Linked DNA regions of Ovis aries. The protein of the gene in region 1 interacts with the protein of each later gene in a pairwise test. Links are inferred from orthologs where the notes say so. Each region holds a gene or a part of one and is shown in the gene's direction. Other genes may lie near its edges.

The links. The genes of interacting proteins can lie anywhere in the genome.
Region 2: the proteins of CDH1 (region 1) and CBLL1 interact in a two-hybrid assay, tested with the Homo sapiens proteins (2 studies listed by BioGRID, with this or other methods). The link is inferred for Ovis aries from reciprocal best matches to the Homo sapiens genes CDH1 and CBLL1.

What each region holds. Positions count from the first base shown.
Region 1 is NC_056067.1:35,612,558-35,616,830, forward strand, and holds the start of CDH1 (cadherin-1), read left to right. Parts: upstream 1-1,473; 5' UTR 1,474-1,578; coding exon 1,579-1,626; intron 1,627-2,539; exon of another isoform or gene 2,540-2,555; coding exon 2,556-2,670; intron 2,671-4,273.
Region 2 is NC_056057.1:50,277,666-50,281,165, forward strand, and holds part of CBLL1 (E3 ubiquitin-protein ligase Hakai), read left to right. Parts: intron 1-1,800; coding exon 1,801-1,968; intron 1,969-3,500. UniProt on the Homo sapiens protein: E3 ubiquitin-protein ligase that mediates ubiquitination of several tyrosine-phosphorylated Src substrates, including CDH1, CTTN and DOK1. Targets CDH1 for endocytosis and degradation.

The sequences.
Region 1 (4,273 bases):
CCAGCTCTCCTTGTGTTCTTTTTTTCCTTAGGCGGTCTGTCTGTGCCTCAATGTCTGTATAGGACTCTGTCTTATCTGTGGTGTCATTTTTGTTTTGTTTCTGTTTTTTAAATTAAGTGTGGTTAAACCCTTGTGATGAATATATTAAATAAATACATTTTGGGGTTTTTATAGCAAAAGAAAAATAATTGACATATAACATTGTACACATTTATCAGAAACAAAATGTTGATTTGACACATATATTGCAAAATGATTACTACCATAATAGCTAACACTTAGCTAACACATACCTAACTCATTGCTAACACCCCCATCATATCACATAATTACCATTTCTTTTTAAACACACTGTAGTTCTGATCATGCTTCAAGGGTAAAAGGAAAGATAATGTCCCTTACATGAGACATTGAAGCGAGTTATTTGCAAATGACAGGTTTGGCTGATCTCTGATGGATCTCTTCCTGTCAACATTAAAGGACAGATTGAAACCTCCAGCTCCAGCTGGAAGATTATGTGGGGCCACATGAGCTGAAGCCAATAGAACAGGCGGTGGAGGTGGGTTCCAGTCTTCTATATATCAAAGTGGCTCAGTTGTGTCCCAGTCTTTGCAACTCCATGGACGGTAGCCCACCAGGCTCCTCTGTCCATGGAGTTCTGTTGGCAAGAATACTGGAGTGCGTTGCCATTCACTTCTCCAGATCTTCCTCATCAGGGGATTGAACCCAGGGTAAAAGGAAAGATAAAGTCCCTTGCATGGGACATTGAAGCTAGTTATTCTTGCAGATTCTTTACTATCTGAGCTACTACTTCCTACTGGCCTCAAATTCTTTATGCCTGGATTGTCCCTCTATTAAATGGGAATAATAGCACAACTCTTGTGTTGTTTTGAGATGAAGTAAGATGGTTAATGTCAAATGCTTAGCACAGAGCCTGTGACACAGTAACTTTTAATGCCCAGTATCAATCGTTACTTATTGTCCCTCACATCTGCATAGAGCTTTTGTGGTGCACGAAACATTGGTCTTAATTAATTGTATGACAACTTCACAACAACACAGGAAGGGATTTGTGATTATTTTACCATTTAGTAGGTGAAGAAACTGATACTTTGAAAGGGAAGATTCTGCCCAGTGAACTGATCTGTCGATTCAAGAAGCGATGGAGATCTGAAGTAGGTAAAGGGTGAAATCTCTCTGGCGCCAGATGTTGGTGAGCCACCGCGAGGCTGGTATTCAAGTCTAATGGTAACGGGAATCGTGGAGCCCCTACCATTGCGTTACTCTGACTACTCTCAGATCACCCGGTCTGCTCGCGGCTCCGGGGCGGAGCGTCCGCCCCAGTCAGCGGAGGAAGCGGAGGCCTTGCCGCGCCGCTCATTGGTTGAGGCCGGCAGGTGCATCCTCAGCCAATCCTGGTGCCGGGGGCGGGGCCGTCGAGGCTCACCTGGCTCCCGCGGCGCCCCGCAGCTCAGTGGCGTCCGGAGCCTCTTAGCACCTGTGAGTTCGTAGAAGTTCTGCCAGACTCTAGCCCGGCCCAACTCAGCTAGATCCTACTCAGCCCGCGCCCGGCCTGCCATGGGCCCTCGGTGCCGCAACCTCTCTGCGCTCCTGCTGCTGCTGCAGGTACGTTGGGTCCCCTGACTGCGCGGGATGCCTTCCGGCCCCATAAGCCGCGCCCCAGCCCCCAAACTCCTCTCTTCCCTCCTGTCGTCCCCTGCTCCCTCTTATTCTAAAAAAGTTTGGGTCCAAAGGGCCTGAATGGCCCGGAAACTGCGCCGCGCTCTGGACTCCATGGGGAAGGGAGTGGGAGAGGGAGCCAGTGAGGGTGAAGGGCGAGTACGGCTTTGCGGACGGCCTCCCGCAAAAGCCAGAGGTGGGGGCGCGCCTCGCTGCAGCCTCCGGGTACTCGGGTGGGCGACGGGCGGGGAGTAGAGGGCGTGGAGTAGGGATGGGGAGCCCCGGTGTAAGTCCGGGCGGAGCCGGGAGTAGTGGGAACGAGGAAAGGAAAGCGGAACCAACAGATAAAGTCACCTGCCCTGTAAAGTGTAGTGAATAGGTATGCCCCCCACCCTCCCCGGGATAAGAAAGGATGTGAAGAGGCTGGAGCGCCGGCGGTCTGAGGAACCGGACTTAGGAGTGCGAGCGGTCCCGGTATAGGGAGAGTGGAATTGGGAAGAGTAAAGATGCCTCCGATGAAATTGAAAAGGAGACTTTCAGGAAAGCGCTGCTGAGGCCGGAGGGGAGCCAGCAGCCTTCCCTCCTGAGAAGTCCTGAAGGCTTGGCGGCCACAGGTTTCCGAATGAAAGAGTTTGACGTGGCTGGCTGGCTGCCCTGTGGGGAGGAATGGGGGGAAATGGGGGTGGGGGAAATGCGGGAGAATGGAGGGGGTGGGGAGGTTGGGGGGGTGTGGGGAGTGGGCGGGGCGGGCCCACCCCTCCCACAGTCCTGGTGCCAGCAGAGGGAAGGGAGGCGCTGCTGGTTTCGGTGTGAATAAGAGGAGACCCCCCCCCCCCACCAAGTCACCCCGGTTTCATACCTTTCCCCTACCCCAGGTCTCATCGTGGCTCTGCCAGGAGCCGGAGCCCTGCGTGCCTGGCTTTGGCGCTGAGAGTTACACGTTCACCGTGCCCCGGCGGAACTTGGAGAGAGGGCGAGTCCTGGGCAGAGGTGAGGGCGCGCCGCCAGTGTCCCTGGGGTGGGAGTGGGCAGGGTCGGAGAAACGGCGCTCCTACGCCCGCGAGCTGGCCTGGGCGAGCACCGTCTTTCCTGGCTCTGGTGACACACCTTTGTAGATTACACAGATGCGAGGATCTAAACTTTTGCCAGGATAGACGTTGGGTTTGAGGGGCTGTCTTGTATGGTTGACTTAGTTATGGGGGGCACTTATTAGGGGCCTTCAGTGTGTTTCATATTATCCTGACCACTTTAAGTCTGTCTTTTCCAACGTCTAAAACCTGATGTGTGGGAAGAGGGTGGTGGGGGAGGTGGCAATTCCCGTTTTTTTACAGATGAGCAAATGGGAGGCTCAGGAGGGTGGAGTCCACTGGCCCCAGGGTCAAAGTAGGAATCTGATCTAGGTTCTGACTTCCAGGCCCCATTCAGCATCTCTGGGATGACTGAGGAGTCCTCTCTTGGTTACCAGGCTGTGGCTTTTGCTCATAGAGATGAAAAAAGATTTTTTTATACAGGTACTGTTTCCCCAAGGAATAGTGGCACGTGCGGTTTTTTGGTGTTTTTTTTTTTTTTTAAGCCTGGTAGCCCTGACTCAGGAATGAAAAGCAGACACAGTGTACTTCAGGGTCTTATCACTGTGATAATCAGGACTCTAGATTTTGGTTTGTTTCACTTTGCCCGGGAGTGAGAGCAAGGAAAGGTTGGTTTCTCTTCTGGTTTCACTGATCTCCAGGTGCTTATTTTCTACCAAAGGGCTTTCTCCTCCCTCTTGATTTAGTTGATTGGACGAGTATCATAACAATAAAAGAAACATTTTTTGAAAGGAAGACTCACCCACAATACCCCTAAGGGAGTTCACTGTTTATTCTTCCAGTGTTTGGTCACGTGAAAAATGCAGCAATCATGCTATAAGATTTTTTTGGAACTTTGGAAATTGTTCCAACAGTAGGCAATTTTTTTTTTTTTTAATAGACAAACTGCAGTTTGATTGATTAAACATATTTGTTTTTCTGAGGCCCGTCTGTGTTGTGTGGAGCTTTCTATTGGGTCAAAAAGGAAAAAATGAAGTGTTGTCTGCTTGATTTTGCAGTGAGTCCCCCATTTCTTGGCCCATGTCAGATTGATGTTCTGCTGGGCCCTGCTGGACCCCAGGAGTGATTGAGGACTTAAAGGAATACCCCACCCTTGCCCTTGGTATTTCCCATTCCAGCAGGTTGATGAGAAATGTCCCAAAATGTCCCAGGACCTGCTTAGAGGACACTGTGGTCTATGGGCACGTAGGTGGCAGTGTGGTGGCCGGGGATGGGTATCAGTGGGGAGCAGAGACTGGCTTCTGGGAGGAGGCAAAGTTGACTGAACCTTGAATTCAGGGCAGAGTTTAGAAACTGTGTGTACATCTGTGTGTGGGGTATTGCAACACAAGTATTGGTCACTTTGTTTTCTTTCACCAAGACATCTGGTAACACCAGAGGTGAGCTAGTCTAGTTTTTATCCCCTACCCCCACCACCAAGTTCTTATATCTGACATGATATTATTATTGTTACATGATAATATTATTACATGATAATAATACAAATATTATTATTATTATTAATA
Region 2 (3,500 bases), on another chromosome or scaffold:
GATGTCACTATTAACAGCTTGCACTTGGAGTCTGAGGCAGACTGCAAGATGTTAGAGGGCAGCAGGCTCTTGAAAGTCATAATTGTGACTTCGGATGTCTAGGGTAGCGTGAAAAGGACTTGTAGTAATGAAGTGTTGTTCACCAAGGAAAAACCGTTCAGAGTCCTTTTACTGTCGGAAAGATGACATTGAACTGTCTCTGATAACTTGCTATTTTTTAAATTCATTGAAAAATCAGGAATACCTTCCAAGCAAAAAAAAAAAAAAAAAACCTCATTCTGCCATACCTTTTTGCTGTTACATTGTTTGCAGGTACTTTAAACAGCTAGAGCCGAAGCAGATGAAATGCATTATTATCTTTTTGCTACTTCATTGCCTGTAGATGTTTAGCAACTAAATGCAACTGGAGTGAAAGCAGATGAAAGCATTATCTGATTGTTGATACATTTGTGAAGTGTTGAGAGTTAAATCAAGATGGATTTATCCTAGTTTAAGACTTTTAACTGTCCATGTATTCCCATTCCCATGATTTTTTTTTTGCAGATTAGCTGTTATGAAAATAATGATAGAAAGCAGACTGAAAGATATTTAAATTAATAATTAAGGACTGATTTTGAATTTTGTTCCGTGTATTATTGAGAAAGAGTGCAAATCTATGTGTTATTCTAGTATCCTTAGAGATCATTACTGCTGGGTAGGATACTACTTCCAAATTTGGCTTTAGAGAATTTAATGTGGATAGTTTGGTTATGTCTCTGTGCTGTCTTCCTGCAGTGGCAGTTACATAGCGTTGCTCACTAATTGTCATGTTTAAAATGTTACTATTTTAAATTATTTGCGTTTCCTACTTTAGGACATTTGCCTTTCTGCTTTTAGCAGATAAAGGTAAATATTTTCTGGATTGTAATATGTCATGGACTTGGAAAAGAGGTGGCTTTTAATCTTAAAATAGAGTCAGTTCTATGAAATAATGCTCATATTACTCATAGGATATGAGTAAATTTATTTCGTAAGCTAATAACAGAGACATAGAAAGTGTCAGTTGTTTAGGCCTAGTTGAAGTATAGAAATCTTGCATCCTCCTCACCTATAATTTACCATTACAGTGCTGACTAAGAATAACGCAGTCACCTGTACATATAGAAATGTTATAGTACATTAGTGTCTGCGTTTACTGCTAAATTGTGTGGTAATTTTTACTATATTCCTGAATGCTTTTTAGAAAAACTATTTTACACCGAAGAGGATAATCACATCCCTAAAGCTAACTTCGTTTTCAGCGTATTATTTATGTAATTCTACCACTGTCAGTGTTAGTTTGTGTTTCCAGTAGTGATTGTCCTGATGTAGATGCAGATTACTAAATTCATTGAGTGCCTACTTTGCATGCTTGATGGAAATGATGGTTTTCTTTCTTTTTGCTGTTCTTTCTTTATCTTTTATTCCTTCTTTAAAAAAAAATCTTACAGTTGCTAGACAGAGCTTCTTACTTTAGGCTCATGAAGGACTTTATGTTTCTATAAACCCCTCTGGAATTCCATGGAAAATTTTATTGTCCATCCTCTTAGGGGGGGGTTCTGTAACTTTTGTCAACTTTTTAAAGGGCTCCATGTCTTAAAAAACATTGCTTTAAGAGTTTATCCAAAATAGAGAAAATTAGTACTTGAACTTACATAGCATAGTATTTACAATCAGATACTCAGCCCTTCATGATGTTGGGTATATTGCTTTAATACCTGTGGCAGAATAACCTTCAAAAAGAAAACCTAAAAGAAATTACAACTTTTTTTCCTAACATAGACAATGAGTTACAAGGCACTAATAGTTCTGGATCGTTGGGTGGTCTTGATGTTCGAAGACGAATTCCTATAAAGCTCATCTCCAAACAAGGGAACAAAGCCAAAGCTTCACCTCGAACTCCAAGGACTATAAACAGGATGCCTGCAAAGGCTCCAGCTGGTGATGAAGGTAATGTGTTTAACAGGTCCAAAAGTCTTTCTTTAATATCTGATTCCACCAAATAAGCCATGTGAGTTTATTTACTTTTAGCCACTTCTTTTTTTATCTTAAATATTCTCTTCTTCAGTCTTCGACTTCTCATTTTGGCATATTTTACTTGCTATCCCTTTATAAATATTTTTGATTTATTTTCTTTTGTTGTTGAAAGTAACACTGTCTATTGTTTAGAAAAATCTAAACAGTATCACAGAAAACATGATACTAAAGTAAAATTGTCCTCCCATTTTTATTCTCCCCTCAAATAATCCCTGGTATGACATCTTCATAGTTGCTTTATAACTGCCCCCCCCTTTTTTTGTACGATGCATGTGAGATTCCGCTTTCTCAGTAGATTCAGATATATCTTATTTAAGAAGATGGGTTTAGGTATTTCACTTATGGATATACCATAATTTATTTAACAATTTTTTAAAACATTTTACTGTTAAAGACAATTTTGCAATAAGTGTCCTTATTTATTTAGTATGTATGTTTTGTAGAATACACACCTTAGTATGTGTATTTTAAAACTTAAATTTTGCATGAATTTGGGCATTTTAGAACTTGATGGATTTAGAATCTATGCATTTTAGCATTTAATAGATGTTGTCAAATGGTTCTTAAAAAATAGTACATCACTTTATACTCCCACACCAATATTGGTACTATTATCCTTTGCAGATTTTTGTACTGATACGCATTTCTTTAATTTATGAGTGGTGCTGTATGTTTTCATAGTATTGGTCATTTCTTTTTTCTAGGCTCTATCTGTTCATATCCTTTTCCATTTTTTTCCTGTTTGATTGTTTTTCTCTTGGTTTTTATGAGTTCTTTATAGATTAACAAAATTGGCTTTTGTTATATGTTGTGTATATTCTCTATTTGTCTTTTGAATTTTATGTATAAAATTTTTATTGTAGAGAAGCTTGACAATTCTTTGTAGTCAGACATTCAGTCTTTTCTGCTGAACTTCTGGGTTTTTTGTCATCCTTAGGCCTTTCACCATTTCTTGAGTATAAAACAGTTTTTATGGCCTATGGGCCAAATCCAGTGCTATGCTTTATCAATAAAGTTGTACTGGAACACATGCATGCCCATTCTTTTACGTATTGTCTGGCTGTTTTCGGGCTTCCCAGGTGGGTCAGTGGTAAAGAATCCAGCTGCCAATGCAGGAGTCTCGGGTTTGATCCCTAGGTTGGGAAGATGCCCTGGAGTAGGATATGGCAACCTGTTCCAGTGTGCTTGCTTGGAAAATCCCATGGACAGAGGAGCCTGGTGGGCTGTATATAGTCCCTGGGGTCACAAGGAGTTGGACATGACTGAGCTTAGGGCGCACCACGAATAGCTGCTTTCACACTATATTGGCATAGTTGAGTAATTGCAGGTATGGCGGTATTTACTTAATTGGTCTTTAGGCAGATAAAGTTTGCTGATCGTGGCTTTGGAACTTTTATGGATGTATATTTGGTTGTTAAAACAAAAATGGGGTGTGACTTGAAGTG